Linked DNA regions of Ovis aries. The protein of the gene in region 4 interacts with the protein of the main gene of each other region in a pairwise test. Links are inferred from orthologs where the notes say so. Each region holds a gene or a part of one and is shown on either strand. Other genes may lie near its edges. The genes, in order: ZMYND19, PHF1, RFC5, NAB2, CWF19L2, MORF4L1 and NEDD9.

The links.
Region 1: the proteins of NAB2 (region 4) and ZMYND19 interact in binary tests that used the Homo sapiens proteins (3 or more experiments, as listed by UniProt). The two-hybrid records come from large-scale screens. The link is inferred for Ovis aries from reciprocal best matches to the Homo sapiens genes NAB2 and ZMYND19.
Region 2: the proteins of NAB2 (region 4) and PHF1 interact in binary tests that used the Homo sapiens proteins (3 or more experiments, as listed by UniProt). The two-hybrid records come from large-scale screens. The link is inferred for Ovis aries from reciprocal best matches to the Homo sapiens genes NAB2 and PHF1.
Region 3: the proteins of NAB2 (region 4) and RFC5 interact in binary tests that used the Homo sapiens proteins (3 or more experiments, as listed by UniProt). The link is inferred for Ovis aries from reciprocal best matches to the Homo sapiens genes NAB2 and RFC5.
Region 5: the proteins of NAB2 (region 4) and CWF19L2 interact in binary tests that used the Homo sapiens proteins (3 or more experiments, as listed by UniProt). The two-hybrid records come from large-scale screens. The link is inferred for Ovis aries from reciprocal best matches to the Homo sapiens genes NAB2 and CWF19L2.
Region 6: the proteins of NAB2 (region 4) and MORF4L1 interact in binary tests that used the Homo sapiens proteins (3 or more experiments, as listed by UniProt). The two-hybrid records come from large-scale screens. The link is inferred for Ovis aries from reciprocal best matches to the Homo sapiens genes NAB2 and MORF4L1.
Region 7: the proteins of NAB2 (region 4) and NEDD9 interact in binary tests that used the Homo sapiens proteins (3 or more experiments, as listed by UniProt). The two-hybrid records come from large-scale screens. The link is inferred for Ovis aries from reciprocal best matches to the Homo sapiens genes NAB2 and NEDD9.

What each region holds. Positions count from the first base shown.
Region 1 is NC_056056.1:398,022-402,456, reverse strand, and holds the start of ZMYND19 (zinc finger MYND domain-containing protein 19), read right to left. Parts: upstream 2,982-4,435; 5' UTR 2,840-2,981; coding exon 2,789-2,839; intron 2,253-2,788; exon of another isoform or gene 2,140-2,252; coding exon of another isoform or gene 2,134-2,139; intron 1,537-2,133; coding exon 1,477-1,536; intron 696-1,476; coding exon 589-695; intron 1-588. UniProt on the Homo sapiens protein: May be involved as a regulatory molecule in GPR24/MCH-R1 signaling.
Region 2 is NC_056073.1:7,741,376-7,745,858, reverse strand, and holds the start of PHF1 (PHD finger protein 1), read right to left. Parts: upstream 3,131-4,483; 5' UTR 2,615-3,130; intron 1,880-2,614; 5' UTR 1,864-1,879; coding exon 1,705-1,863; intron 1,622-1,704; coding exon 1,540-1,621; intron 1,442-1,539; coding exon 1,346-1,441; intron 563-1,345; coding exon 462-562; intron 368-461; coding exon 219-367; intron 55-218; coding exon 1-54. UniProt on the Homo sapiens protein: Polycomb group (PcG) that specifically binds histone H3 trimethylated at 'Lys-36' (H3K36me3) and recruits the PRC2 complex. Involved in DNA damage response and is recruited at double-strand breaks (DSBs).
Region 3 is NC_056070.1:57,206,204-57,210,708, forward strand, and holds the start of RFC5 (replication factor C subunit 5), read right to left. Parts: upstream 3,130-4,505; 5' UTR 3,025-3,129; coding exon 2,963-3,024; intron 1,496-2,962; coding exon 1,431-1,495; intron 1,167-1,430; coding exon 1,030-1,166; intron 1-1,029. UniProt on the Homo sapiens protein: Subunit of the replication factor C (RFC) complex which acts during elongation of primed DNA templates by DNA polymerases delta and epsilon, and is necessary for ATP-dependent loading of proliferating cell nuclear antigen (PCNA) onto primed DNA.
Region 4 is NC_056056.1:162,521,694-162,526,177, reverse strand, and holds the start of NAB2 (NGFI-A-binding protein 2), read left to right. Parts: upstream 1-1,533; 5' UTR 1,534-1,691; coding exon 1,692-1,774; intron 1,775-3,238; coding exon 3,239-4,112; intron 4,113-4,484. UniProt on the Homo sapiens protein: Acts as a transcriptional repressor for zinc finger transcription factors EGR1 and EGR2. Isoform 2 lacks repression ability.
Region 5 is NC_056068.1:15,806,263-15,810,117, forward strand, and holds part of CWF19L2 (CWF19-like protein 2), read left to right. Parts: intron 1-283; coding exon 284-496; intron 497-3,855.
Region 6 is NC_056071.1:22,952,324-22,956,178, reverse strand, and holds part of MORF4L1 (mortality factor 4-like protein 1), read right to left. Parts: intron 2,454-3,855; coding exon 2,428-2,453; intron 2,013-2,427; coding exon 1,924-2,012; intron 1-1,923. UniProt on the Homo sapiens protein: Component of the NuA4 histone acetyltransferase (HAT) complex which is involved in transcriptional activation of select genes principally by acetylation of nucleosomal histones H4 and H2A.
Region 7 is NC_056073.1:44,062,440-44,066,790, forward strand, and holds the start of NEDD9 (enhancer of filamentation 1), read left to right. Parts: upstream 1-1,513; 5' UTR 1,514-1,725; intron 1,726-4,351. UniProt on the Homo sapiens protein: Scaffolding protein which plays a central coordinating role for tyrosine-kinase-based signaling related to cell adhesion. As a focal adhesion protein, plays a role in embryonic fibroblast migration.

The DNA.
Region 1 (4,435 bases), about 160 Mb from region 4:
AGGAAACAGACAGTGCTCCAGACAGGCTCCCCGACCCCTCGTCTCAGCCACGCGCACTGAATGGCCCTTGGCCCATCGGGAGCACGGCTGCTGAGGGGAACCCAAGTCTGCCGGTCTGTGGCCCAAAGGGGACAGGCCAGCCCCTGGACTTGAGCGCTAGGCTCCAGGGAGCCAAGGTGGAGCCCCAAGCCACCTCGCACACAGCCTGGGGGACACCGCTGAGTGGGCCCAAGCACTCCGGAACCTCAGCGTTCACACAGAAGGGAGGACGGCTCTTCCCCGTGCCCCACCGCCAAGCTCAAAGGGACCTAGAAGGGGCCAGACTCCACCCGCCTCCAGAGGCGCTGTGGCCCGAGTGCTGGGAGCAGGAAGGGCACATGGCCTACAGACTCTCAGGCCACCCTGCCAGCGCCAGGGGACGCAGAGCAGCCATCCTTCCAGGCAGGGGCAATGACAAAGACGTGACTGGGAGGCCTGGGCAAGGTATCATCTGTCGACGAGGCAGAAGGGCCTCTGGCTGCCCAAGCCCCTCGCACCGCAAGGCTGGTGCTAACCCAGAAAGGGAAGCAGCAGCTTGGAAACACCTACCACAGCAGCTCATGAAGGAGCCGTCCCGACCCCCTCCCTCGGTTTTTGTCAAAGGCATATGCAAATATCTTAGCACCATTTCCATCTGCGTCTACTTCCATCCGGGCCTGAGAAGAAACAAGAAAAAGCTCTGTTAAAAAGCCTGCAATTCTCCACAACATTCCAAATTCCTCTTAGAAAAACGAAGGAAACAAGCCAGAGGGACAAAGGCCAGGCCTGTTCCTGGGACCTTGGTGGTCTCTGGAGGCTTCCAGACACGTGGCACGGAGAAGTACCCGCCTACATGAAGGCAAGACACACTTAAGAACCACTCTTTGCAAAATACTGTGGACGTGGACACAGGGAAATAAATCTCCCTACCCTTAAAAAAAAAAGTCCCTAATCCAGTAAAAAAAAGGTAAGCCCTGGAACAAGCAAGCATAAAAGGGTGAAGGGTGAGACAGGAGTGGGCTGGGTCTACAGGGTGGAGGGAGGAGCAGGCAGGTGAGGACTGGAGCCCAAACAGCCAGGTAAGAACAAAGGCACCGGGCCCTGCAGGAGGCCGAGGCTGGAGAGGAGGTGGGGCAGTCCTGGACAGTCTCCCTGGGCACAGCAGTTTATCCGACTGAACTCAATCACAGACATGGCACCATTTGTCTCTTTTTTGGGAAGAGCCTGCAAGCAACGTGGAAGTGAGAAAGACAGCAAGCATCACGGAGGCGGTGGGGGGGGGGGGTCCACACTGACAGACAGGTTCCCTGGAGACCAGGGTTCTGGACAGGGCTTCACCCGCCTGCTTGAGCAGCTCACATGCAAGGGCCTGCCTCACGTCACAGGGGTGAAGACCTACCCCTCATGACCCCCCTTGGCACGACCGTAGGCAGGCCAGCAAAGGAGCAGAATCCTTACCTCGAACGAGTAGCCCTCCACCAGCGGGATGTCCTGCTCATCTATCAGCGTATACTTGGTCTGGAAATTAACGTTTGAAGACGTCACATTTGGAATCAGCACAGGGCACTAACAGTAGGCAGGAGCAGCCCTCACGGGCTCAGAGCGGCCAATCCACCCTGAAGGCAGGCAGATGTGCCAAAGGCCGCTCTCTCCCCACTTAGCACAGCGCACAGCTGTGGCGCCAGGCCCCACCTGCCGTCTGCTCACGACTAGCCATGAGAAGTGCCTGAGAACTAACTGCTCATCCACTAAGCTGTGCGTGTCAATGTGTCCATAAGCCCAGTCCGAGACCACGGTGTCACAAGAATAGAGGCAGGGCCCCGGGATTGAAGCAGAATATCTGGAAGGTTCCAACCATCAGGCAGGCGGCACACAGGTGCTCATGGAACTGTCCCTCCTATCTCTTCGTCTAACACGTTCCAAGTAAAAGTTTTAAAGGATGGCATTACTGCAGACAACCGCTGAGTTGCAGAGATCGCAAGGCTAATAAGGAGCCCACCCTTCCGTAGTTAGAAAGTGACTGCCCTTTGCGGGAGGGCAGGAAACGGTCCCCGAAATGGACCAGTCTCACTTTCGCTTGGAGAGCTTTTTACTAGTTATCTGAACCGGCTTTACCTTCATCTGACTGCCTCTGCTCCTCTCTCCCACCAGAAGCTTCCGCCGCTGGTGATGGGAACAGGGTTCCCATCCAGGGTAAGGTCCGTGGCTGGTTCAGCTGCACGGCCGGCCGGCTCCTGGAAACAGCCAAGCCTCAATGCCCACAGGTGCCAGGAAGCCCCAGCCTCGAACACGCGGAGGGCGGGGCCCGGTAAGGGAGAGAAGCAGAGGGAGGCCCCGCTCGGCCGAGGCCAACTGAGGCTCAGCCCGACGGGGCCGCCGCGAGCAGCCCGAGCCCTGCGCGAAGCTCACTACGGACCCGCAGGGGCCGCCGGAGACCGAGCGCGCTGCCCCGGAAGGGCCTGCGCTCCCCGCGGCCGCAGGCACAGCCGCAGCCCTCGACCCACGGCGCACGGCCGGAGCCGGCACTGGACCAAAGCTGCCCCAGGAACCAGGCCGCCGGCGAACCTAGGGCCTGTGCCCGTGCGTCCCGCCGCGCTGGCCGGGCCCTGCGCCCCCAGCCTCGCACCCCCGACGCCGACTCCGACTCCCAGCCCGCGCCCGCGCCCCCCAGCGCCGCTCAGCCCCTAGCCTCACCCCAGCCCCGGCCCTCGGCCCCGGCCCGGCGCCCCACGCCTCCCGCCCGACGCCGGCCCCAGGCCGCGCCGCGCACCTTTCCGGCCACCCGGCCGAGCCGCACGATGCCCAATTTGAAGTCGGTCATGGCCGGGCCTGCGCTCGGCCGGCGGCGCCGCTCCCTCGGGAGGTGCCGGGGCGGGGCCGCGGCGCGCCGGGCGGGCGAGTGGGGGCCGGGAACGGGGCCAGGCGGGCGGGCGGGCGGGACGAGGCTGGGCCGGGGTCGGGCCGCCGCCGCCGGGCGCCCGCCGGACCTGCCACGCGCCGCCGCCGCCGCCGCCGCCACCACCGCCGCGCGCACCTCCGCGAGCGGAGCCAGGGGCGGGGCGCGCGGCGGACACACCCCCGCCCGCCGCCGCCTGGCCAATCGCGCGGCGCGCAGGGCGCCGGCCGGCGCGCGCCGCCACGCCGCAGCCAGTGGCGGGAGGGCGAGTGCGCAGGCGCGTTGGGGCGCGGCGAGCGCGCCGGGGAGGGGCGCGGCCGGGGGCGGAGCCTGCGCGGCCGCCCGGCGCTACGTCAGTTTCGCGGGAAGCTTTGTGCGGGAGGGTGCGCCACCCGCTCGCAGCGCAGACCCCCGAGCCCGGCCTCGGCCCGCGCAACGGGCGGTTTGGCTGGGCACCCTGGGCCGTCCGGGCCCTGCAGGTCGGGGCTGGCTGCGGCTCCCTGTGACTAGTCCCTGGACAGAGGGCTGGAGGCCGGGGTGGATTCGCGGATCCGGAGTCCCGGGGCCCGTATGACTCCGTGGCTGGGTCCAGTGCCCTCGGAACGTGGGAGCCCAGCGAGCGCTGTTGGCTGACCGGGAACTGCGCCCGCCCTTCTCCCTGGCCGCCTCCGCGCATGGGCCGGGATCAGGATCCCATAGCCCATGCCTGTGCGACACGATCCTTCCCTGGGCTTCGAGAAGGGGCGCTGAAAAGCCTGCTCCAAATCCTTCCCGAACAGGAACTCCCAGACCTGACGATTCGGGGTCGGGGGTTGGGGGTATACCTGTCTCCTGGCAACCACTCCAAATGGCTCTCGCTCCCAACCCCCAATGAAACCGCTCTACACCGGTGCACCAAGCAAACCCCTGCTCCTGTTCTAGCGAGGGAGGCAGAAAAGGCCCATGACCAGCGAGTTACTCGCCTTGTTAGAAAGTGATCAACGCTGTGGGGAAACGAGTAGACCAGCATCAGGGAGTTGGAGGCCCCGGGAAAGTGGAGGCGGGGTAGATCTCACTGCCAAGTAACCTGAGCAAACTGGGGGGGAGAGAGCGGGTGAGCTCTGCGGGCTCCAGGGGAACAGCATCCCCAGCAGCGGGGAGAGCCCAGTGCCAAGGCCCTAATCTGGCCCCAGCTGGGCGTTTTTGAAAAGCGGAGGCGGTCTCTGTGAGCCAATGAACGCATCAGAGCAACAGGGCACATGGCCAGAGAGGTGGAGGTTGGGAAGGGTGTGGGGTCTGGGGAGCACTGTGACTTTTACACTCAGAAAAGGGAGCCATTGGAGGATAGGAAAGGAGGAATAGCTTTTTAGTGCATCATGGCAGCTGATGCAGACAGTGAGGGAAGGGTGGGAGCAGGCAGGACGTTTAGGGAGCTAATGCAAGCTTACCCGACTAAGAAATGATGGTATTGGGGCCACCTTTGACGGCAGTCAGGATAGCCCTGGTTATGCTGCAGTAACAAACAACCCTAAATTGTCAGCG
Region 2 (4,483 bases), on a different chromosome or scaffold from region 4:
GCCTCGTGGAACCACTGCAGGCAGCTCCGGCACTGCAGCATCTTCAGGTTCCACCTGAAGTGAAACGGGACCAGTGACCCCCCAGACACACCCTCCTTAACCGCCCCAAACCCTGCTCACCACTCTCCCGCCCCCTTCAGCACTCCTACCACCCTGCCATTCTCCTTTGTTCCCACCCCCATCACTTGTTCCCTAGCCCCCCGCCCCTCACTACTCACTCCCCAGGGCCACCACAGTAACAGTAGCTCTGCTGGCGGTTGCTCAGATGTCCAGCGTCCCAGTCCAACCCCTTCAGTCCATATGGCAGGGAGAGCTTCATGCCCAGCATGGCCCGGGCGTAGGGGCCCTTCTTCAGTGCACCCCCCCTCTGCAGGTGGAACAGACAGGTGGCCTCAGGGGTGGAGGAAGGAAGGGTCCAGGAGAGGCTGAGAGTTGGAGGTCCCACAGGGAGGGGCCCTTACCTTGGTGGCGATGGCAAAGACGCACTGGCGGCAGACCCAGGATGCGCCCTCTCCCTCTCCAGGGGCTGGAGCCCTTGGAACGTGGCAGTCCTGGTGATAAGCTGAATAATGAGAATATTGACAGTAGACCACTTATTGCATTGCGTACCTGTGCGCGCTAGGTATTGGGACAAGAGTCTTAACCCCATCTCATTTTGTTCTTGACCATGGTCCTGGTAAGGTGGGTGTATTATCTTTATTTTAAAAGCAGGTGAGGCAGCTGTGATTCTTAGAAGTTTAGGGACTTGCCCAAGGTCAAATGGTTAGAAAAAGCCGTACTGGAACTACCCTCTGCCTGCATCTGGGACTTCCTTGATAGCTCAGTTGGTAAAGAACACCTGCAATGCAGGAGACCCTGGTTCAACTTCTGGGTCAGGAAGATCCCCTGGAAAAGGTATAGGCTACACACTCCAGTATTCTTGTGCTTGGGCTTCCCTTGTGGCTCAGCTAGTAAAAATTCTGCCTGCAATGTGGGGAACCTGGGTTTGATCCCTGGGTGGGGAAGATTCCCTCGAAAAGGGAAAGACTACCCACTCTAGTATCCTGGCCTGGAGAATTCCATGGACTGTACTTTTCATGGGGTAGCAAAGAGTCAGACACAACTGAGAGACTTTTGCTCACTCACACCCTCTGCCCGCAGAGCTCATGCATCCCATCCCAAGGCTGCCCCTCCCTGTGCTGGCAGGGAGTGAGGTTACAGGCTTGTGGAGACTGCTCAGAGCAGTGGCTTGGGGACTCAGACCAGGACAGACAGTATAAGGACCAGAGCTGGAGAGAAGGATCAGAAGCACCCTGGTAGACCTAGGGCAAGCTAGACCATTCAGGTGTCCTGCCCTCTCACCCACCATGGCGACACTTCTCACAGCTGACCAGCCGGTTCCCAGGGACCACAGTCTCAGAGCGACATACACAGCAGAGGAGTTCCTCCCCAGGGAGGGCCGCTGTGAGAGAACAGAGTGTCAGAGGGCCTGTCCTCCAGCCCCTTTCTGTCCCCCATGCCAGGTTTGTTTTCCCTTGGATCCATTCTCAGGCTTCTCACCAGGGCTAATGTCTTTCCATAGAACCAGAAACTGGGAATCATCCTCAAACTGAACCAAACACACCTCCCGAGCACTGTCCACCTGGAATGGGTGAGCACAGAAGATGGAACAGGAATCAGACTAGATAAGGGGAATGAGAAAAGGTGACAGGTCAGAGGTCATACCTTTTTGATGGTCCCCAAGTATAGCAGCCCATCTGTCCATCTGGCCAGCACATCTTGACCCTCCCAAAGTCGAGGCCGGGGGCCTGAGGTGGGAGCAGGAGAAGCTGGGTCCCAAAGTGGGGGGGCACCAGAGCGGCTCAGCCGGGGGGGCTGTGCCATTGCATCCTGGGGGGGCCTAGTTAGAAGTGAGATGGTAGGAGAAAGTTACCAATATTGAGGAACTAGCCCCCATTTTCTTTGCCTGTTTTTCTGTCAAAGGCTTGAGCAGGTGTGCCCAGCCTCCATTTCCCTGAGACACCTGGGTAGGAAACCCCTGGGCACCCCTTGGGCCTTCCTGACTCCAGCTCTCCCAACAGTCACCAGTGGTTCTCTTCTCCCCACCGTCCCCCCACCCCACCAACCTAGTTCTCTAGTTTCCCAGCTGCCAGAGCTCCCCTGGGACGTTGTATCCCGGCCTTGAGATTTTAGCAAAAAGGATGGTTGCAGAGGCAAAGGTTGCCACTCAGTTTCTACTGTCACCTTCTACCGCTGTTTATAGAGGTATTACAATTGGGGTGCTGTTTCCCAGAGACGTGTTTTGGGAGCTTTTTCTGGAGATGTTTTCGAGTGGAAAAGGTTGCCTCCGGGGCCCCCGTGTCTCATTCAGAACAATCATCTTGGTGCTAGGTTATGTCAGGTCACCCTCAAATTCGGGGCTCCCTGCCCCCGGGTTAGAGAACTTCCCTGAGTGCCCCGGGAGGGGGGCGTGTCCCAGTCCGGGTCTCTTCTCCCCAGGACGGCGAGTGGGAGAGGGGGCTTGAGTCGGCCCAGCCCGACCCGCCGCCCGGGCGGCGCGGCTCTCCCGCCCGCGCCCTGCGCGCCGACCCCCGGCTCCCTGCCCCCCCACGGGCGCCTCCCGCCGCCTCCTTACCAGTGACAGCTGGGGCCGCCGGGAGCCGGGCAGAGGCAGACGTGGGAGACTGAGGTGAAACCCCCGCGCGGGGAGGGCACGGCTGGGCGTCGGGGGGGCGTGCAGGCAGAGACCGGGGGGTCCCCAGGCCCAGCCCCTCCGTCCCGGCGGCTCTGGGGCGTATGACGCAGCAGCCAAAGCAGCGGCAGCGGCAGGAGGAGGCGGCGGGGGGAAGGAGGGGAGGGGAGGGGAGGGACAAACCTGCTCGGGGGGAGGGTGGAGGGAGGGGAGGGCGGGGGGAAGGAGGAGCCGGGGGGGCGGGCACCTCCTCACCCCACCTCCCTCACCGCCAGCGGGCCTGGAGGGCGCGGAGCGAGTGGGAGCGTCTCCGTGGATGGGGCGGGCGGGCTCGCGGACCCGGCGGGAGAGGGAATCCCCGCAGCCCCTTCCTCCGGAGAGAGGCCTGCCCTCGGGGCAGGAGGGAATCCCCCGCTAGGCCGCCGGCCGGGCCGCCGCCCCGCGCCACATCCGTTAACTGCCCCCGGCCCCGCAGGGTCACTCCGGGCCCCGCCCCGCGCTCCAGTTCACGACCCCGCCCTCCATTCACCCGTCCCATGGCCCCCGCCCCGCCCCGGCCCCGCGGGCTCCGCCTCCTCCCGCCTTTGCCCCGGCCTCCGCGGGCTCCGCCTCCTCCCGCCTTTGCCCCGGCCCCGCCCCCCCGGAGTTAGATGCCCCCACCCCGCCCACTGTCGCCGCGCCTCTGCGCACGCGCGACCCCTCCCGCGCGCGCGGCACCTGGGAAGACCCAGCCCTCTGACGGGGCGGCGGCCCTCGGCGCTTGGCGCGAGGGAGTTAGCCTATGCGCCCCGCCCCGCGCGGCCGAGGCGGGTGCACCGACTAGAAGAGCTCGGACCGAGGCGGTGACGCCGCCGAGAGCCAGCCAATGGCGGCGGGCGGAGCTAGCCCCGGCGGTTCGAAAGGGAAGGAAAAGAGCGGGAGGAGAGAGCCCGCAGCTTGTGGGCGGACGCGCCGGCCCCGCCCCGGACTCCCACCTTTCCGCACTCAAGAGTTCCTGCCCCGGGCGAGGGTGGCCTGTGCCGGAGGAAGCGGAACTAGTGACTGGACACCTGGTGCGCGCAACCCCCCGGACGTGGATAGGGACGGGAGCAGGGCGGGGGCCACCCTGACTCTGGAGTGACCCGTTAGAAAAGCCGGAGCCCTGTCCCCGTGAGACACAGACGTTTGGCAGAATGGAAGAGCCACAGCTCCCCCCTTATTGGACAACCGCTAATAAAACCTTTATTTAAAAACAACAAAAAATTCTCTTCTTTATTTGATAGGCCCAGGTATCAGCGCCCACTACCCCCCTCCCCCCCCCCCCGTGTGTCTCACACATACACACACACAATCTAGATCCATCTTCATTTCTTGTTGGCCTGGGCTGTGCCAATAACACACTGGTTCACCTGCAGACAGGGGATTTAGACAAAACAGGATAAAAAAATTTTCAGAGCAACCAAAAGTTTTCCCCAAATCACCTCTGAACCCTCAGTGTTAGGGCTGCCCTCAGAGTCCTGAAATAAGGGCTCTGAAAGCAGGTTCAGGCTGGTCTCAGTTCTCCCGCGCCCACTGTCCACACTAGATCTGGAAGAGGAGGAAAGGCCAGAGAAAGGACAGAAGCCCCTCACAGGAGCAGAGAAAGGCACTTCTAGACACCCTCAAAGCCCTCCCACCACTAGTGCTCAATAAGCTAGATAACACATCATCATAAACGTAGGAACCAAAGCTCCTTAGAAAATTAATGATCTTCAGTCTAGGGCAGGAAATGTACAAGATGAATCTGGAGAAAGGACTACTGAGAACTTGTCTAAAGGGCACAGGAGCCAAGTT
Region 3 (4,505 bases), on a different chromosome or scaffold from region 4:
TAAAGAGATGATCATTAAAAAAAAAGATAGCAGTTATATTTAAAACTCACAGCTCACTAGATCATTCCACTATATTCTGAAAGGCCAATGACTATCTTTCTTCTCCCTTTTGAGGACAATCACTGACATGCTTTGGAGGAATAATTAATTGGTCTGGTCACAGTGAACAGCACCCCAGGCAGGAGCAGAATGATACTAATTTTAGCTACCACAACCCAGAGCAACTCAGAAGTTAGCAAGTCTTTAATAAACTGAAGTAAGAACAATTAAGAATCTTGGTAGCAGAAAGATTCTAAGATCTATAACAAAAAAAGTAAGTTAAACCATTTTTTTTCTTAACAATAGACAATATTTAGAATTTCATAATCTAAGTGGATCAGTCGTGTCCCAGCAGTAAACAGCACACTCAAATTCGGTAATTTGAAGAGAATTAAATGAAGAGATATTTTCAAAGGTGCTCGTGAGGTGTGGGAGAAACCACAAGAGCTATGCAATACCTTATGGGCTACTGGGGCCCATTACCACTCTCAAGTCTTAAGGGGTTGTTGGGGGAGTGATGCTGGCTCCTGGGGAATGCTGGGTGCTGTGCCCTGTGGGTGGGGACACTGTCCGTCTGTGGTGACCCAGGGCTGGACCAGGCATCATTTTTCCCCCAACTCCTGGCCAAACCCAATAGGAGCCAGAGGGCAAGGGAGCTTGTCGGCAACACCGCCCAGTCTTCTGGGACAAGAACAGTGTGGAGCAACATGGAGAAGGGCACATGGGATACAGCTAGCAACCAAGTGACCCCTGAGTGTTTGAGTAAAAGCTGGCAAAAGCAAACAAAAACACCTGGCCCTACCACTGCCCTCTAGCTACACCCAAAATCTCCAGGCAAAAATGTCAATTATAGGAAAAGTGAATTGAAATATTGTATATCTGCTTCTTTCCCAACCACCAGCAGGGCAACTAAGTTGGAAAACAAAACTAGCAGAACTAAAAATAAGAAACCAGAGTCCGTTGAAAGTTAAGGGTAATCCTCTCATTTACCTCCAAGACCATGGAGCCAAATTCCTTATCTTTGTACAGCTGTTTAGCACAGGCCAGGATGGTGGATGTCTTTCCTGTCCCTGGAGGACCATACAGAAGGAGGTGCGGCAGGCGGTCCTCACTGATAAACTTCTGAACTGAAGATGGGGGGAGAAAGACAGATGCTATCAGTCTCAGTCGCCTCATTCACCGCGGGCCAGAGTTGGGCTGAGTCTACTTCACATCTGTGTTCAAATCCAGGGCACGGGCAGGAATGAAACATCTGAAGGATGCAGCTGTCAGAGCCACATCCCAAAAGCTTAGTCAGATTCTTTAAGGTTATCACAGCAGAGACCACATCCCTAAGCAATGTATCCAGGTTCTTCAACTAGGATACCAGCCACTGACACAGGGATACTTACTAGTACTCAAGATGTCCTGATGAGAAATGAGATCATCCAGTGTCTGTGGCCGGTATTTTTCAACCCTAAAATACAATGTAGCATGCATTACAACATATATAAAGGCCAGAATATTTTGTTAGGTGCAGAAGAGTCCTTTCATACATATCCTAACTAAAAGAAGAGAGATACAAAAACCTCTAACCCAGTGGTTCTCAATTGGGGCAATTCTGTCCTCCAGTGAACTCTTGATAATATCTACAGACTTTTCCCCTGTCAAAACTGGGTGGAAGGTGCTACTGGCATCTAGTGGATAGTCATCAGGGAAGTTATTAAACATTATGAAATGCACAGGCTAACCCCTGTGGCCACGCCCCCCTGAAAAACTGCTCTCATTTCACCTTTCCAGCTATCTGCCTATAATCTCAACCTGGATGGGCACCTAACGTTAATCCAAAATTGAACCTGTATCCAAATATAAATTAACAGATGAATGGATCAATAAATGGTGGTATAGCCATACAGTGGAATGTTACTGGCAATAAAAGGACATGAACTGCTGATCTAAGAAGCCAGTCATGAAAGGCTACATATTGTATGATTCAAGTTACATGAAATATCCAGAATAGGCAAATTCATAGAGACAGTAAGTAGATGAGTGGTTGCCAGGAGCTGAGGGAGAGGGGAATGGGGAGTGACTGCCAATAGGTATATTGTTTCCATTTGAGGTATATGAAAAACTTTGCAACTAGATAGTGGATGATCACACAACATTCTGAATGCACTACAAAATCGCTACAACTGTAAATTGTATGTTATATATTTTTACTATAGTAACAACAAACCGAACTCATTATCTTGAAAACTTTTGAAAAGAAATAAGTTTTTCAAAATCAAGCCAAATCCTATCAGTCTTTAAAACAACAGTAAGACACAGTTGTGGAAGCAGACTGGCTAAGAATGCAAGCTCTGAATGTGGACCACCTGGGTTCAAATCCAAACCTATTTTCCAACTCTAGACCTTAAGCAAGTCATTTAACCTTTTGGTAAAGCTGGAATAACAGTATCTTCTTCCCAGGGTCTTTGCAAAATTCCAACATCTAATAGGGTGCGTGTAACAAAGTCACTGAAATATAAGTTAACTAGGAAGTGCTGTCATCATCATTATCATTATTCTAGCTTAGAATGTGACCAGTAATCGCACCGAGAGAAGAGACTATTTTGTCAAGAGAATATTCTGCCACAGAGGCCAAGGCAATGTCAGAAGACATGGGATCGAACCCATGTTGTCACCCAAGTGGGGAAGCCGTTTTCCTCTTCCGCAACAGGAAAGGGGGCCCTGGGTTACGGGTGAAGGGAGACCTAGCCAGTTATAAATAGAATGGAGCAGGACTGGGGAGTTGAGGGCAGGTGAACTTCTGTGGCTCCACCCCGGCCTCAAGTCCGGGGACTGCGGGGCGAGGTCGGGCTGGAGACTGGCCACTTGTTCACTCGGGCCACCGCCTCCGCGCGCGGCCGATCCCCTTCCCCGCAGCAGCCAGGCCCCCTCCTACCAGGGCAGGTTTCTGATCTTGGCCGCCTCAGGCTGCTGCTGCTTGTGCGCTGAGGTCTCCATAATGATGATGGTGATGATGGTGGCCGGTGGGCTTGTCGCGTTTCCCAGAGGCCCGAACCTCGCCAACAGCCACAACCAGACCCCGGGACCCTCGCACTTAGAGTTAGCGCGCAAACGCAACTCTCGCGAGATTTAGCGGCCATCGGACTTCCTCCCTAGGTCCCGCCCCCTCCCCGTTGCTAAGGCCCTGTTGCCTGGTTGCCGGCAGGCCCGGGCGGACGCCTCGCCCCAGCTCCGCCCTTTTCTAGCTGGATCTCCCCTCTCTGGTGTAGACCAGAGTCCTGAACCCAGAGGGAGCGCGCGCCTGAGAGGCACGGCCACCCCGTACAGCCACCAATCATCATTACAAATTAAAGTCTCACGGCCAAAGCCAATTCCAGTCGTCACCAGAGTTATAGCTGTTACCCTTCAAGGGAACAGAAAGCGGCCAGCGCTAAAAAATTCTGAGGTAAAACAACCCGAAATGACATGACCAGTTCTTGAATACAGATACCATAAAAAACAAGGCTTGAAATACTTTTTGCCCCCAAAGCTAGGAGGTGAGCACTTCAAACTGAAAAACAACTCCAAGCACAACTCCAACTTCAGTCTGTCTCTCAAATCTATGCCCCTCACCCAACAAAATTTACAGAACGACCTCCAGAAACAACTCCAGAGAGGAAAAAGTAAATAATAAGTAACTTCCCTCCAGGTTAATATGTGTAACTGGAAAGGGCTAGTTAGTAAGCGAAGAGGACAGGGTCCCTCTGACGTGAAGCTGCTGAGGAGAATTGGTATCAAAATGTTAGTATTTTTTTTCTGAGGTAAGGGGATTATGAACCACTTATGTTTTCTATTTTGCTGGTCTGTAGTTCCCAGCAATAAGTGTGTATTATATCCGTAATAAAGTTTGGCTGTTGTTTTGGCTGCGCTGGGTTTTAGTTGGGGCGCGCAGTATCACGCGAGATTTTCATTGCCGCCTGTTGGATCATTGTTACAGCACACGGTCTCTTCACTGTGGCATGTGGAATTTAGTTCCCTGACCAGGAATGGAAGCCAGGCCCCTGCTTTGAAGGCTCGGATTCTTACCTACTGGATCACCAGAGAAGTCCCTGCTTTTTGTTTGTTGGTTGTTGGTTTTTTTTTTTTTGCCATGCTGAGAAAGACAACAATCCTGAGAGGAGATGAGGCTGACCCAGGATTACAAGTGTTCTGATTTAGAAGTAGCTGCTCCTTGCCTCCTACTACCACACTGTCACCCATTTTAGGAGTAGAATAGAGGGACAGAGGGCAAATATAAAATGACAGTTATGGCTTCACCCTGGTCCCTTCCTGGGGAGTCAGAAGGGGGTCAGATGGGGCTGTGATATGACAATGTCCATCTGTCTGACTTACTTCATTTAGTATAATGACCTTATTCTTTATCATATGGATATCCAGTTTTTCCAACATTATTTTTTGTAGAAACTATCCAATGAGTATTGTGTTCTTGGTTCTTTGGC
Region 4 (4,484 bases):
TTCCCCCCGGTGATGCGATGCACCCCCACCCCTCCTCTCCGGCCCTCCACTAAAGGCCGAAAGGTCCCCTCGCCAGGCCGGAATGTAGAACCAGCCCTGGCCCACGCCACCCACTCCAGGCCGCCCCGGGCCACTCAGAAGTGCAGAAGGGTGGGCGGGGCCGAGGTTTTGGACTAGGGGGAACCTTGCTTCTGGCCAGCCGGCTCGCTTCCCGCCGCCTCCCCCCACCCTCCTGCATTTCCTCGGGGCCTAGTGCCGCAGGGCCGGGCGCTCAGAGCCCCCGCCTGTCCGCCCTCCCAGCCGTGGGCGGGAGTGTAATGGGAACCAGATGGAGCTGGGAGAAACAAAGGGGGTAGGGAGTGGGTTTCGGAGAGGGGTAGGCTCCTCGAAGGAGCTCCTCCCTCCCACTCCTCGGTAGGGAGCCACGTTGGACACACTCGGCCTGCTGCCCATCTAACTCTGGACTCTTGCGGGCCAAGTGCCCTAACAGACGTCCCTAGAAAGGGTATCCTCTCTCTCCCAGGGCTGCCACAACAGTTTCCCAGGAACAGGTCCCCATCCTCAGCAAATAGGGTGCGACGAGTAGAGGAAGGCGGGGTACCCCTCCCATGCCTGCCTGACCTGTGCGCCAGCAAAACCCGTCGCGACTGTAATCGACGCGCGTCTAAGTGGTAGCTTCTAACAAGCCCCGCCCATTCCTGTTTCCCAAACTTGGACGTGGACTCCAGGCCAGGATGGAAGGGCGCCTGGGTTTCCGAGAACTGCCTCTTCAAACAGCTCCTTTAGGGGCTGGGAAAGTGCGTTTGGAGATGGAAGAGACTCCTGCGGAGCCCACGCTCACAGACCTGCCTTAAGCGCACTCTCTATGGGAGTCAGACGCACGAAAGGAGACGCGCACCCCGAGTCTCCAACAACTTTTCCCGGCTCACTCCTAACGTTTACAAGTACAGCACCGCGAGGTTCAAGTGTGGGCAGCAGGCGTCCGCATAGCTGTTTAGACGCGTGTGCCCGTCCTTTGCGCTGCTCGGTGTCTTTGTGTACCTGTGCGTGGTTGTGAAACTCCGCTCTCCTCTCGGAGGGGAAGGGGGAGTGGGAGTAAGAATGTCGCCGGCTGGGCGCTCACGTGGGTACGTGGGCGCGGAGAAGGCCGGCTGTGCATCCGGCGTGGGCGGCACGGAGCGACCTCGCCCCGCCCGCTGGATCCCCAAGCCCGCCTTCCACAGCCCGGCCTCGGTCACCTCAGTCTCCAACTCGGCGCCCCGGGCTGAGTCCCCGCCCCCGCCTCCATCTCCACACTCCTCCCCTCCCCCCAACATCTCCGCCTCTCTCTGTCTCTCCGCCGCGGCGTCTCCCCGGCCCGGCGGAGAGACCCGGGCGCCCGCCCCCCGCCCCCGGCCTCCGCCCCCGGCTCGGCCCACGCCCTCCGCCCGCCCGGCAGCCAGCGCTGCGCCGGGCCTCGCTCCCCGTGCGTCCTGCGGGGGCGGAGGCGCGGAGAGGCGGCAAGCGCAGCCGGGGAGGGGGGGGCAGAGGCACAGACAGAGGCGCGGAGGCTCGGAGAGAGGAGACGTGGAGGGAGGGACGGAGCCCGGACAGCGGCGGACACGGCCTCGCGCGCGGGGAAGAGCGCAGCGCGCAGCAGGCGCTGAACGCCGGGCACTGAGAAGGGCACCCCGGGTAGTCTCCAGCCGTCCATGCACAGAGCTGCCTCCCCCACAGCCGAGCAGCCGCCGGGCGGAGGGGACAGCGCCCGCCGGACTCCGCAGCCCAGACTCAAGTTAGTGGGCAAAGGGAAGCGGCGGGGAGTGGAGATGGGTGGAGCTGGACTCGGGAGAGGGGTCCGGAGGGCGGAGGTCGAGGAGAGGACGAGGGGAAGCGGGACGGGGGTGGGGGGTGGAGACTGACGGAGAGGGGGTGCGTCTTCGAATTAGGGGGCCCTGAGAGCAGACAGAGATCTGATGCAACTGGAAAGACTAGAGAAAGAATAGTATCTAATTCTGCATTGCCCGTTTATTTGGGGGGCATGACCTGGCATGTGAGCCCCCTGCAAAGAATACGGGGGCTCCCAGGCGGCAGGGGAAGCCCTGGGGCTCTAGCTGACAATAGTGCCGGCGGAGGGCCGCTCAGCTGGCTCAGCGCGTCATTGGTACCGAGCGCGCGGCTCCGGGATCCGGGATAAGCCGGCGCCTTTGAACCAAGAGAGCATCAGAGGAGCTTTGCAGACGCGGGGCAAGCCTTAGGCGTCTGTTCATTTCTGTAGCTTTATTTACAGAGTGGGGAGGGGAGTTTCGATGTGCAACCCCTCCCTCAAGAGGCCTTGAATCGCTCCCCCACACTTGAAGATGTGGGTGGAAAAATGAAGGAGAGAAGGGTAGGCGGGAGGCCCCCCCCGGCGGTTTTCGCCCACAGACGCTACCACTGTGGGAGTGTGTGGGGGCGCACCGGGCCCCAGAGCAGAACAATTGAGGCACCCCTCCCCTCCCCCGTGCCTGAGCTGAAGGGATGGCCCTACCTATGGAGCAGGTGGGAAGGTCACTGCTGGGAGAGGGACCAACTGAGGGGCCCTGGGCAGTCTGGAAGGTAGGGGAGGTCCTGGGGAGAGAGCAAGAAGGTGCAAAGAATGCCTAAGCCGTGCGAAAAGCTGAGCAGGGGTGGGAAAAGGGAGCAGAGGATGGATGGTCTGCCTGGCTCACAGTGAGAAAGGGCAGGGGAAGAGGCCACACCTTTCCTGCTCAGCCACATGAGCAGGATGCCACCAGGGAATAAAGCTGGCCAGCAGTGGTCCTAGTTTCCCCTGTAGGGAGGACAAGGGTCCTATGTTCACCTCAGCGTGGACATTAACTTTGTATTGTTAAGACTGTTAGGAGTGTAGGGTGGAAGGTGAGGATGGTGCTCTGGAAGAGACATTGGTCCAGCTAATCCAGGGGTGTACTGACTGGCCTCATACTCATGGTCTCCTTGCCCCAGACCACAAAAGTAAAAGCTGAGGATGGGGGAGCTTGGAGCCTTTGACTCCCACAAAGACCAATCTGGCTTCTGGTACTTCTAGCCAGTCTGGGATAGCACTGCTGCTGAACAGTGGCTGGTTCGCCTAGTCTGTGCTCAAGTCTCAGCAGAGAGAGCATTCAAAAGAGGGGAAGAGAAGCAGGCAGGAAAGAGAAGACAATTGTGAGGATGGGTTGGTACCCAGCAGGGAACTTGCACTGACTGTCCCCCCCAACCTTGTGCGCCTCCTTCCCAGGCCCAGTTCCCGAGCCATGGCCCTGCCTCGGACCCTGGGGGAGCTGCAGCTGTACCGGGTCCTTCAGCGTGCCAACCTTCTTTCCTACTACGAGACCTTCATCCAGCAGGGAGGGGACGACGTGCAGCAGCTGTGCGAGGCGGGGGAGGAGGAGTTCCTGGAGATCATGGCGCTCGTGGGCATGGCCACTAAGCCCCTCCACGTCCGACGCCTGCAGAAGGCACTGAGAGAGTGGGCCACCAACCCAGGGCTTTTCAGCCAGCCTGTGCCTGCAGTGCCTGTCTCCAGCATCCCACTCTTCAAGATCTCTGAGACGGCAGGGACCCGGAAAGGGAGCATGAGCAATGGGCATGGCAGCCCGGGGGAAAAGGCGGGCAGTGCCCGCAGTTTTAGCCCCAAGAGCCCCCTTGAACTTGGAGAGAAGCTGTCACCATTGCCTGGGGGCCCTGGGGCGGGGGACCCCCGGATCTGGCCAGGCCGGAGCACTCCAGAGTCTGATGTTGGGGCAGGAGGAGAAGAGGAGGCTGGCTCACCCCCGTTTTCCCCACCAGCAGGGGGAGGCGGCCCTGAGGTGACTGGGGCTGGGGGCCTGGCAGCAGCTGGGACTGGGAGTGGTCCAGATCGACTGGAGCCAGAGATGGTGCGCATGGTGGTGGAGAGCGTGGAGAGGATCTTCCGAAGCTTCCCGAGGGGGGATGCTGGGGAGGTGACATCCCTGCTGAAGCTGAACAAGAAGCTGGCACGGAGTGTGGGCCACATCTTTGAGATGGACGATAACGACAGCCAGAAGGAAGAGGAGATCCGCAAGTACAGCATCATCTACGGCCGCTTTGACTCCAAGCGGCGGGAGGGCAAGCAGCTCAGCCTGCACGAGGTGAGGGCCCCAGCCTACCAGGATTGCCTGGGACATCTAGAGCTTGACCTGCTTACCTCTGAGAATCCTCACATTTGCCGAGTCTGTTTCATTGCCCCATGACCAGGACCCAAAGTCCTGATCCCCTCCTCCACCAACCCCAGCTGCTGCTGTGCTTCCCTGCTCAACTGAGGGGGATGCAGAGACACAGGCAAGAGGCCAGCTGTCCAGTTCCATGCCACCCAGGACCCCACAGGATTGGAGGAGGTCCCTGGCATTCATAGGAAGCTCTGGGTGCTGCCCTCTGTCTTCCTCCCCCAGGAAACTCCTGGTAGTGTCAGTAACCCAACCAAGCATCTGATGGATGGTCTCATTTGTCTGATGGAGAAGGGG
Region 5 (3,855 bases), on a different chromosome or scaffold from region 4:
GCATAGAATTGCACATAGCAAATACTCAATACATTTTATTTGTGATGATGATGATAATAAATTGACCCCTGTGATTCAAGCTTAAATTTTAATCAGTTTTTTCTTTTTTAAAATTTCATGTAATAGTTTTATCACAGAACTTATAGATGCAACTTCAGTATGCCATAGTATTATCAGACACAACTGAGTGACTAACACTTTGATTTTACTTTTTTCATGACACTGTACAATAAACTGAATAAACCACTGCCTTTTCTTCACTACCTTTATTTTCATTTTTTAGTTTATGGGAAAAACAGACGGAGATTATTATACTCTGGATGACATGTTTGTCTCCAAAGCAGCTGAGAGAGAACGTTTTGGTGAAGAGGAAGAGAATCAGAGGAAAAAAGCTATTGCTGAGCACCGGAGTCTTATTGCACAAATGGAAAAATGTCTGTATTGTTTTGACAGCTCTCAGTTTCCCAAGCACCTTATTGTTGCAATAGGTGTTAAGGTAAGAAACACAGTGATTATTGTCCTAAGGAAATGCTTCTTTCTCCATATGCTTCTAAGGTTCTCAGTAATCCGTCTCTTACTCTGTGTTTTATATATTTTCTTTTCTAAGTTCCCATGATTCTTAGAATTTTCTTTAGATTGAGTATAAATATTCAAATGATATGAAACTTATATTTCATGTAATTCCATTCTACAGATAGGCAGCATTGAGTTGTGCTTCAGGCCCTAGACTTTGGATCCAGACCACGTGGATTCAGACCCTTGCTCTGCCATTTCCCATCTGTGTGATCTTACTTTCATGATTGGCACTTAAGTCTCAGTATTAAAATCACTTCGGAGCTACTTACTTTAAAGTAGCTTCTGCTTCTTCCCTTACATTCTTATGAAATCTTTTTATTTCTTTATAGACTATCTCATAATTTGAAGAAGTTTATTGTACAGTTTCTGCTTGGTAACCCACTGGGGATTGGTTTTACAGTCCTTGTATATGAAAATCCACAGATGGTCAAGTCCCAGTCAGCCCTTCATATTTGTATTTTGTTTTACTTGTTGAGTGTCTCTCTCAGTAGTCTGTTAGTTCCATGAGTATAGGTAACTTTTACTTATCATTGTATACTTGCATATATCTCATTATATACCAAACATGTATGTTTACAGTCACTTCTTTTGATATTCTTGTTGTTCAGTCACCAGTTGTGTCTGACTGTTTGTGACCCCATTGACTGCAGCACACCAGGCTTCCCTGTCCTTCACTGTCTCCTGGAGCTTGCTCAGGCTCATGTCCATTTAGTCGGTGATGTCATCCAACCGTCTCGTCCCTGTCGTCCCCTTCTCAATAAATACTAAATATCACTTATTTAATAGCCGGTAATAATAGTCATTTATTTCAGCATTTGGCAATTTAATCCTTATGTTAAGTAAATAGTTATCATGTACCAGATGTATGCCAGAACCTAATTAGTCACTGGGGAAAAGTAGAGAATCGGATATACTTGTGTAGCTAGTTTTCTAGTGAAACAGAGCAGAGTAATGATTGCCCTGATTTAAGGAACTGTTGTTATGAAACAGATATAGAGAGGATATGTGGGAAATGATGGGAGGTTATTTTTTGAGAAGCTGATCTAAAAGGCTTCTCTGAGGAGATATTTTAAAGGTATGAAAGTAAAGCTATGAAAGATGAGAAGAAGCAAGCAACATGAAGATCTGAATGAGTAATGTTTCAGAAAAAGGTGTCAGTCAATGAGTGAAGACAAGAGGAAGGCATTTATGGAACAGAAAAAAAAAAAAAAAAACAAACCCAGAATAGCTAGAGTGGAGTGAGTGAGAAAAAGTGGTAGGAAAGGAAGTTGAATGAATGAATGCTAGTTTCAGAAACCAATATTGTGGAGAGTATACATATACATATTATTTGTTACACACACATACACAGTACCTTTGTAGCCAAAGAACTGGTATTGACTTTTTCATTCCAGTTCTAGTCTTTAATACCTTTAGGTCATTAAGACCATCAGTTTATCAGTTTGAATTTTGGTTTCTTTAACTTTTAATTTTTCGTTACCCTTCTTTTCCATTTCTTTGTTTTCCTCTAGACTTTATCAAAAGTGTGTGTGTGTGTGTTAGTTGCTTAGTCGTGTTTGAATCTTTGTGACCCCATGGACTGTAGTCTGCCAGGCTTCCCTGTCCATGGAATTCTCTAGGCAAGAATACTGGAGTGGGTTGCCATTCCCTTCTCCTAAGACTTTATCAAAAAGTAAAAGTAAAAAAGTCCATTCAAAATTTAATCAGTCAGAAACCCTTAACCAATCTTACCAGTTATTTGTGTTAATTTTCCCATGTTCTTTTCTAGACCATTAAATAAACATTTATATTTTCATAATTAGGACATTTTATATAAATATTTCATTCCCCTCAGTCTGGCCCCTACCTTTACGAAATGTAAGGATAAATTCACTTTAGTTCAGTAGCTCAATTGTGTCCGACTCTTTGCGACCCCATGGACTGCAACACGTCAGACCTCCCTGTCTATCACCAACTCCTAGAGTTTACTCAGGCTCATGTCCATTGAGTCAGTGATGCCATCCAACCATCTCATCCTCTACTGTCCCCTTCTCTCTCCTTCAGTCTTTCCCAGCATCAGGGTCTTTTCAAATGAGTCAGTTCTTCGCATCAGGTGGCCAAAGTTTTTGAGTTTCAGCTTCAACATCAGTCTTTCCAGTGAATATTCAGGACTGATTGCCTTTAGGATGGACTGGTTGGATCTCCTTGCAGTCCAAAGGACTCTCAGGAGTATTCTCCAGCACCACAGTTCAAAAGCATCAATTCTTCGGCACTCAGCTTTCTTTATAGTCCAGCTGTCACATCCATACATGAGTACTGGAAAAACCATAGCCTTGACCAGATGGACCTTTGTTGGCAAAGTAGTATCTCTCTACTTTTTAATATGTTGTCTAAGTTGGTCATAACTTTTCTTGTAAGGAGTAAGCATCTTTTAATTTCATGGCTGCAGTCACCATCTGCAGTGATTTTGGAGCCCCCAAAAATACAGTCTGTCACCATTTCCACTGTTTCCCCGTCTATTTGCCATGAAGTGATGGGATCAGATGCCGTGATCTTAGTTTTCTGAATGTTGAGCCAAAGCCTTTGACTGTGTGGATCACCACTCACTGTGGGCAGTTCTTAAAGAGATGGGAATACAGACCACCTGACCTGCCTCTTGAGAAATCGGTATGCAGGTCAGGAAGCAACAGGTAGAACTAGACATGGAACAGACTGGTTCCAGATAGGGAAAGGAGTACGTCCAGGCTGTATATTGTCACCCTACTTATTTAACTTAGCAGAGTATATCATGAGAAACGCTGGGCTGGATGAAGCAGAGACTGGAATCAAGATTGCTGGGAGATTGTCAGATATGCAGTTGACACCACCCTTATGGCAGAAAGTGAAGAACTAAAGAGCCTCTTGATGAAAGTAAAAGGAGAGTGAAAAAGTTGGCTTAAAGCTCAACATTCAGAAAACTAAGATTATGGCATCTGGTCCCATCACTTCATGGCAAATAGATGGGAAACAGTGGAAAAGAATAAATCAAAGTAACAAAGTTTTCAATAATTCTATATAAAAAGTTTGGGTATTTTTCAGTGACTTCATTTTCCCAAATGCACTGAAGACATGCTAGGTCCACACAGGCACAGAGGTGTGAAGTATACAAAACTTCTGTTTGCCTCCTGCTTCATAGACTGTGTCCCATAGTAGGCATTTCTCAATTAGTGACACAAACTGTTGGCCAGCAAAGAGACGTTTTCTATTTTCAACTCATATATTTTTACACAAATTCCTTTTCCTCTTCTACTGTGAGGTAAT
Region 6 (3,855 bases), on a different chromosome or scaffold from region 4:
ACTAAACACCGTTCTTTCTAGCTGAAGAGCCGCTCTAAGAGTTTTCTAAAAGCTTTTCTGAACCTTTAGAGGCACTTGGAATAAATTCTTTACTCAAACGGACAGCTGGAACTGTCACTTGGAAACAGTAAAATGAATTAAGATCATACAGCTAACTCCTGGGAGAAAAGAATCTTGATAGTCTACTTGATGCTTTTTCATGTGAAGGGTTTTTTTTTAAAGCAAAATTTCCCTTCTTCTATAAATGACCTCTCCAACTTGATGTATTTTAACTCGGTATTTTCAAAACTTATTCATTTCGAATAGCCACATCTTCAATGAAGCCCAAACACGACCCTCTTAAAGTTACATCTTTATAAGATTAAATGTATCTTCTAATTTGTCAGTAACTGCCTAAAAATGTCTAATTTTTAGAACATGCCGGTGTTTTAACCTCAGCTTCAGAAATGTAAACGGTCAGTTATACTTTTAAAACTTCTTTTCAAATTCATAACTTGAGTTATAAATATAGTAAATTAGACATTTAATTCACTTATGTAAAAATCCTAAACTATTATACCCACACACATACACGTGTAACTGATATGCTTTCTCAGCATTTTTCTGTGGGTTTATTAAATCAGTAAATCAATTTAATGTGACCTAGTTAAGTCAATTCAATCTTAATACCAAAGAACTATTTAGTCTTATACAAGAACACAGGGCTTAAAACAAACATATGATGAGTTAGGGATAAAACCTGGAAAGAATACACCTAGTGCAACACATGAAATAAAGATGTATACAAATATATCCTTTATCTAAAAAATAATATTTTCACTTCAGTAATTAAAAGAAATCTGTATGCAGGTCAGGAAGCAACAGTTAGAACTGGACATTGAACAACAGACTGGTTCCAAATAGGAAAAGGAGTATGTCAAGGCCGTATATTGTAACCCTGCTTATTTAACTTCTGTGCAGAGTACATCATGAAAAACAATGGACTCGAAGAAGCACAAGCTGGAATCAAGATTGCCGGGAGAAATATCAATAACCTCAGATATGCAGATGACACCACCCTTATGGCAGAAAGTGAAGAGGAACTAAAAAGCCTCTTGATGAAAGTGAAAGAGGACAGTGAAAAAGTTGGCTTAAAGCTCAACATTGAGAAAATGAAGATCATGGCATCTGGTCCCATCACTTCATGGGAAATAGATGGGGAAACAGTGGAAACAGTGTCAGACTTTATTTTGGGGGGCTCCAAAATCACTGCAGATGGTGATTGCAGCCATGAAATTAAAAGACACTTACTCCTTGGAAGGAAAGTTATGACCAACCTAGATAGTATATTCAAAAGCAGAGATTACTTTGCCGACTAAGGTCCATCTAGTCAAGGCTATGGTTTTTCCTGTGGTCATGTATGGATGTGAGAGTTGGACTGTGAAGAAGGCTGTGCGCCGAAGAATTGATGCTTTTGAACTGTAGTGTTGGAGAAGACTCTTGAGAGTCCCTTGGATTGCAAGGAGATCCAACCAGTCCACTCTGAAGGAGATCAGCCCTGGGATTTCTTTGGAAGGAATGATGCTAAAGCTGAAACTCCAGTACTTTGGCCACCTCATGCGAAGAGCTGACTCATTGGAAAAGACTCTGATGCTGGGAGGGATTGGGGGCAGGAGGAGAAGGGGACAACAGAGGATGAGATGGCTGGATGGCATCACGGACTCGATGGACGTGAGTCTGAGTGAACTCCAGGAGTTGGTGATGGACACGGAGGCCTGGCGTGCTGCGATTTATGGGGTTGCAAAGAGTCGGACACGACTGAGCGACTGAACTGAAAGCAATGCTTCTGAGTCAAAGTTCCATGACTATTTTATCCGTATTGTAACAGGACAGACTAAAAATTCTAACATGCAATTATTAACATAAATGTAAGGAAAGACTCACATTTTCAACAGTAGGGTCTACTCGAGCCCTTTTCTTGCGAGGAGGCTGAGGTGTCTCACTAGTGCTGCCACCATCTCCATTTCCAGGTGCTGTAAAATTTTGGGGGTATGGAAGGGAAATTGTTGGCTTAATGAGTAACTCTTTACTCCTTGACCCTTCCATTACACAGACGTTACTTAAATCTACATTGAAGAATCAGATTCCTACCAAAAATATACCTCTTATGAACAGCTCATCTAGTACAAAGCAATATTTAATATTACCATCTATTTTTTATCTCAGGGTCAGTCATTAAAAAACACAAATAGAATAAATGCTTATGTTTTTCCACAGTAGAATGTCAGTTCTCTACGGCTATGTACCTAACTCTGTAACACTGCTGTGACTCATGAGACCATCAACATATGCTTACTCTAAAACTTCGTGACTTAAAATTTAACAATGAATTCAAAATGCAAATGTTACAAAGGCAGATTAATTAATTCAGACAGTTAATATACTTACTCTTCTGTTTGTTCTTTTTTGTCTTCCTGAAGGGAAAAAAGGAAAAAGCTAATTATCACTATTGTCTCTGGTTTAAATTCCCTTCTACCAGATTGAGTCCATAGAGAAATACTGCCTTAATGGTAAGATCAGGCAGCTATCTTTGCCTGATCTTATTTCTTGCATATTCTTATTTATTACTCAAGACTCAAGGACTTTTTTTTACTGATAGCTGGCTCAATCCACATCTCCCTCTAGACAGCAGAAAAATCAAAACCATATCATAAGATCTTCTCCCAGGGTTTTATTATTTATGTCTATTAGTAAGTTTATAGCATGTAAATTATATTAAAAAGAACCTGCTTCATAAGACTATTAGTTCAACAAACACAAAAAAACTCCAAAGATTAAAATATTTTCCCCAATTACTTTAGAACCAGCATAATTTGACGTTAGACTTATGTTTCACACCAATGCTCTCACTGGTCAAACTGTTTCACTTTATTTCTTCTCGAAACTACATTCCTTTCTTTACAACACTAAACACTCTGCTCATCCACAGAACAAAGCCTGTGTCTAGACTATTATGTCTAACAGTAATTTATCTCATGGCTATTTATGTATGCACCGACAGTGAATTACTAATCCTGACATAATATCTAATTATTTCTGGAACACAAAGAAAAAAGTTTATAAAGCCATGATTATAGATTATGCCTAGAGGGACCATCACATTACACCTGAATGTGTTTGCTTTTCTACAGTTTTAATATTTATAAATGTTAACTACCTGTGTTTACTCTAAGTTTTCCAAAGATCAACATCATGGAAATATGTTACTACTTATTAACAAATAAAGCTATGAATTAATCTCAAATAGTAATCCTTGCCAAATCAATCAATTATCTTAACCAAATCAATTATCTTACCAAATCCATTAATCCTTGCCTAATTATCTTCTTACCCCCCCAAAATAAAACTGCAAACATTTCAAAATGCATAGTTATCTTCAATACTGTCTTTAATCTTTAGGTAGTAAAGTCACACTAGTTAAGGTCTAAAAGCAATAGAATCTAATCTCAAGGAAAAAGATACTGAAAAAGCAAATCTAACCCTCAAATCTCAAAACTTGTGTCTTGAGAATCCAATGCTAATGCTTGTAAAAGAAAAACACATTATAGGCACACGTCTGTTCTAACTTGAATGACTGTAAGGGTGTAAGGGAATTCCCCGGTGGTTCACTTGTTAAGACTCTGCACTTCAACTGCACAAGGCAGGAGTTTTGCCACCCAGTATGGCCAAAAAAGTAAAGATTAAACAAAGGAGGGGTTGTGTATGTACTTAATGCCACCCAACTGTACACTTAAAAATGAGTTAAGTGGCAAAAAAAAAATTTCTAAGGAAAATTAAGGAGTCAATATGTAATCAATATATAGTTTCAATAACCCA
Region 7 (4,351 bases), on a different chromosome or scaffold from region 4:
CTGCTCTCATTCTCAGACTTCATCAAGGAAGAATATATGGGATCTTCAGCCATGCATGTGTGTATGTATTAGTTGCTCAGTTATGTCCGACTCTTTGTGACCCCGTGAACTGTAGCCTGCCAGGCTTCTCTGTCCGTGGAATTCTCCAGGCAAGAATACTGGCGTGGGTTGCCATTCCTTTCTCCAGAGGATCTTCCTGACCCAGGAATTGAACTCTGATCTCTTGCATTGCAGGCAGATTCTTTACAATTTGAGCTGCAGAGAAATCCTTCAGCCATATATAAATAATAAGAAAAAAATTGAAGTGAGACAGGTAGGGGGCTTTGTACATGGTTAATGGATGCTCTATGTCTTTCCCTCCGTGTTTTGTTTGATCCTGCTTCCCAGGTGGCGCTAGTGGTAAAGAACCCAACTGCCAATGCAGGAGACCTAAGAGGCCTGAATTCGATCCTTGGGTTCGATCCAGGGAAGAGCCCCTGGAGGAGGGCATGGCAGCCCACTCCAATATTCTTGCCTAGAGAATCCCATGGACAAAGGAGCCTGGTGGGCTACAATCCATAGGGTTGCAAAGAGTCAGACATGACTGAAGCAACTTAGCACGCAGCACCAACAGCAAAGGTTGGCAGAGAGTGTGTTGAGAGTGGATTAGTCACTTTGCTACATGTTGGCATGGTGTTGACTGTGAGCTGTTCTGTGACTGAGGCTGTAAGAGATAAGCATTTAAGAATGGTGAGGTGCTATTCTAAGAAAATATCTGTAAGGTCCTGAGTAATGTGCCTCATTGTTGGGACAGCAAGTATTTGTTTACAGTAATTCTCAAGGGTTAGTGGAGATTATCTTGCTGAGCCCCAAGGAAGTTCTAGGAAATTCGACTTAAAATCAAGTCTGGTGCTGCATCACGGTTTTTTCAAATCAAAATTTACAATAAATATAGATATTTTCCATCCCTTCATATAATGCAATTCAGCAGTAAAGGTGCTGGCAGCAAAGAAATATCGGAAGTGTGGCCCTGGGAATTTTCCCAAAGGCTATTTTTAAAAAATAGGACATTTTGATGAACAACAATGATAATTAAAATGAAAAATCTGTCAGTGCACTACGGGGAACAAAATCTCAACCAGCTATAAAGTTATTCTAGCTAACATTTGTATCATTATTTATGCCATCTAAACATAAAGCAAGGATTTGCAGGAGTTCTACAAAAATTCCAAAAGCATTATACCCGCTATTCATGGAGAATGGCAAATTTGCTTTGGTTCATTTGCCTTTTATCCCTCACTGTTCTAAAAGAGAACAGATATTACATTGTTGAGCTCTATAGCAGTTGTGATCAACAGAAAAAAGAACAAACATCTTTAATTGTTCACAAAGCAACAGATAATTCCCACAACAGACACTGCTTCTGACAACCGCATATTTAAGGCAGAGGAAAAATAGACTGTGTACATACCATGGGGTTATTCCCTAAAAGTCTAGTCAGCATGACTTGCATTCGGGGGAAAGTCCACTAGACATAATCTAAGCCAGACCGCATCAGTGCATGTTTGTCCCCTGCTCTTCCATTAGCACGGAGTGAAATTTCACAGCTAAAATGTCTGCATCAGCTTCTGAAGGAAGAGAGTCCGTATTCCTCACTGTGACCTTGATTCCCTGATGAACCTCAGCAATACTGGTGATTGCTCTTCCCCCGCTATGCCCATCTTATTATCAGTGATAATGGAAGAGGTGAGTCTCTCACTTTCCTATTTCTTTCCGGTGACACTCTCGCCATCTCCAGCACCTATTTTTGCTGTGTTTTCAAAAAGATGGATGTGTCAGTTGCCGTTGTCTCAAAGCATTTTCTCAGAACTGCCTGGCCAGAAAATCCTCTGCACGCCAGAAGGAGAAAAGAGACCTTTTGAGATATTTGTCAGCTTCATTAACCCAGACATGTGCTTTATAAAAATGGAACTTCCGATAAAGATTTTAGGCACTCTTCGACCTTATTCTCTGCATAATTTAAGGATAAAAAAATCTTATTCTTTGCCTTCTTCTTCTGCATCAGCGTTCCGAGGATTGCTATAGGTTTCCTTCCTTTGTGTTTGTTCCAGTTCAGAATTTTACCATTTCCTTTTTCTGTTTGTATTTCTGATTTCATGATCACTCCATTATTTTATTCATCTTCAGTGTCCCCATGTGGGTTGTTCGTATGACTGGTGACATCAATGACTGCTGGCATAGCATAATCTCAAAGAACTCTCTCATAAGTACTCGTTTTACAAGCCATCAGTTACTTAAGGCATTTGGCAATAATGTTTGCTTAGCAGATCAAGTGGTTTATCTTCTAAGTCGTGTATCTTACATTTCTTTGCCGAATTCTGGCTTCTGTCTAGATCTTGCAGGAACCTGAAGAAAGTCACATGGGGCTGCATCAACTTCCTTGTTCAGTTGGGGACAGTCTGATGATGTCGCCCACCAGCTAACCTGTTCTTCCCTTCCCTCCCCGCAGTGTGTGTGCCTGTTGGGGGAGGGAAAAGGAAACCAGACTAGGTAGCCAGTTGGAAACGACCGGTGTTTTTATTTTCTTTCTTTTTTTTTTTAAATGACTGTGTCAGATTTAGTACCAGGGTCTAGCTGACCTCATAGAACACATTGCAAAGCGTTTCCTCATCTTCTGTTTTGGAAAACATTTATGTAAGTTTGATACCTTTTCTTACCTTAATGTTTAAAAGAGTTCACCAGTGATACCATCTGACCCTGATGTATTTAAGGAAAGAGTTCAATCACAAATTCAGTTTACTTAATAAATGCATTTTCAGCAATATTTCCTATTTCTTGTTGTGTCTGTTTTGGTAAGTTGCATTGTTTAGGAATTTCATCTAGCTGTTGAATTTATTAACATCAAATTGTTAATAATATATGTAGCATCTGTAGTATATTCACACATTTATTCCTGGTGTTAGTGGTTTTTCTTATTTTTTTCTTGATTAGCCTATGTAGGGCTTAAGTATCAGTTGTTCAATCTTGTCTCTTTGTGACCGCATGAACTGTAGCCTCCAGGCGCCCCTTTCCATGGGATTTCCCAGGCAAGAATACTGGAGCTGGTTGCCCTTTTCTTCTCCAGGGGATCTTCCTGACCCAGGAATCAAACCTGGCTTTCCTGAACTGCAGGCAGATTCTTTACCATCCGAACCATCAGGGAAACCCATGTGGGGGGTTTCAAATTTGTTATTCTTTCAAAAGGAAAAAAATGTTTTGTGTTAATTTTCTCTGTCATTTATGTTTTCTGTTTCATTGGTTCCTTTTCTTTACTATTTCCTTCATTCTATATACTTTGGATTTATTTACCTTTCTCCACTTACAATGAGGTTATGTCCCAATAAACCCATTGTGAGTTGAATATATCATAGAACTCCTCTGTAGTAATTCCTCACAGGAATTAAAAAACATTTACTTAGTTATATTCAAAACAATATATATTTTCTTTTGAGTTTTTTAATTAAGAAAAAGAAGAGCAACTCCTGATATGACTCAGAAGCAACCGCGAAATCAGATTTCAATTCATGTAACCTATCCCTTGGTCAAAATAGTAAGTGATACCAAAGAAATATCTGTGTGTCAACACATTTGATTATGCACTGCTTTTCTTTTGAAAATAGAAAATCTCAGGTGTCAGCATATCAAACAGGAACTACAAAAATGTTCTCCATTAGGTTTTGGACAGGTAACATTCATTTGCTTTTAAACATGTTATAAAAGCTGAAGGTTTTACTATATAAATCTTGTGGTGGCAATTTGTACCACCCACCAGTTTTAGAGGCTCCATGAATGATTAAAAAGAGTTTCACGTCTTTGTGAGGCGTCTTAGGAACCTAATGATTTATTTGTGTTCCAACTGCTGCCTTTTCTCCCTTTTGTGTCTTGACAATTCTTATCATACATTCCTTACTGGTGATTTAGTAGACACAGTGAGCAGATCTTAACTTTAAAATTATACAGCTCCCTTATTTAAAGCTGCAGGCTATCTGTTCCAATGTCATTTTGCTTCTTTAGCAAACTTTCACTGATACCTTGTTATATACCAGATACTGTTCGGAACTGGGGGCCCCAAGAAGCATTGTCCCTTTTTTTTTTTTTCATGCGTTTATAGTCTAGTGGGCATCAGAGAAATAATTGTAGTAAGTTTTCTAATAGAGAAATGTTCGAGCTGCAAGGGGAGGCAACCCAGGCAGTCTTCAAAGGAAGAGATGACATTTCAGTGTGATATTAGGAGTATGCAAAATGTTATAGCTCAGTAAATTGAACCCTTATGATTTTTGCATTTAAATGTATGTAAATTTTATCTGAAAAAACTAGCAAGTTATTCAGCTCT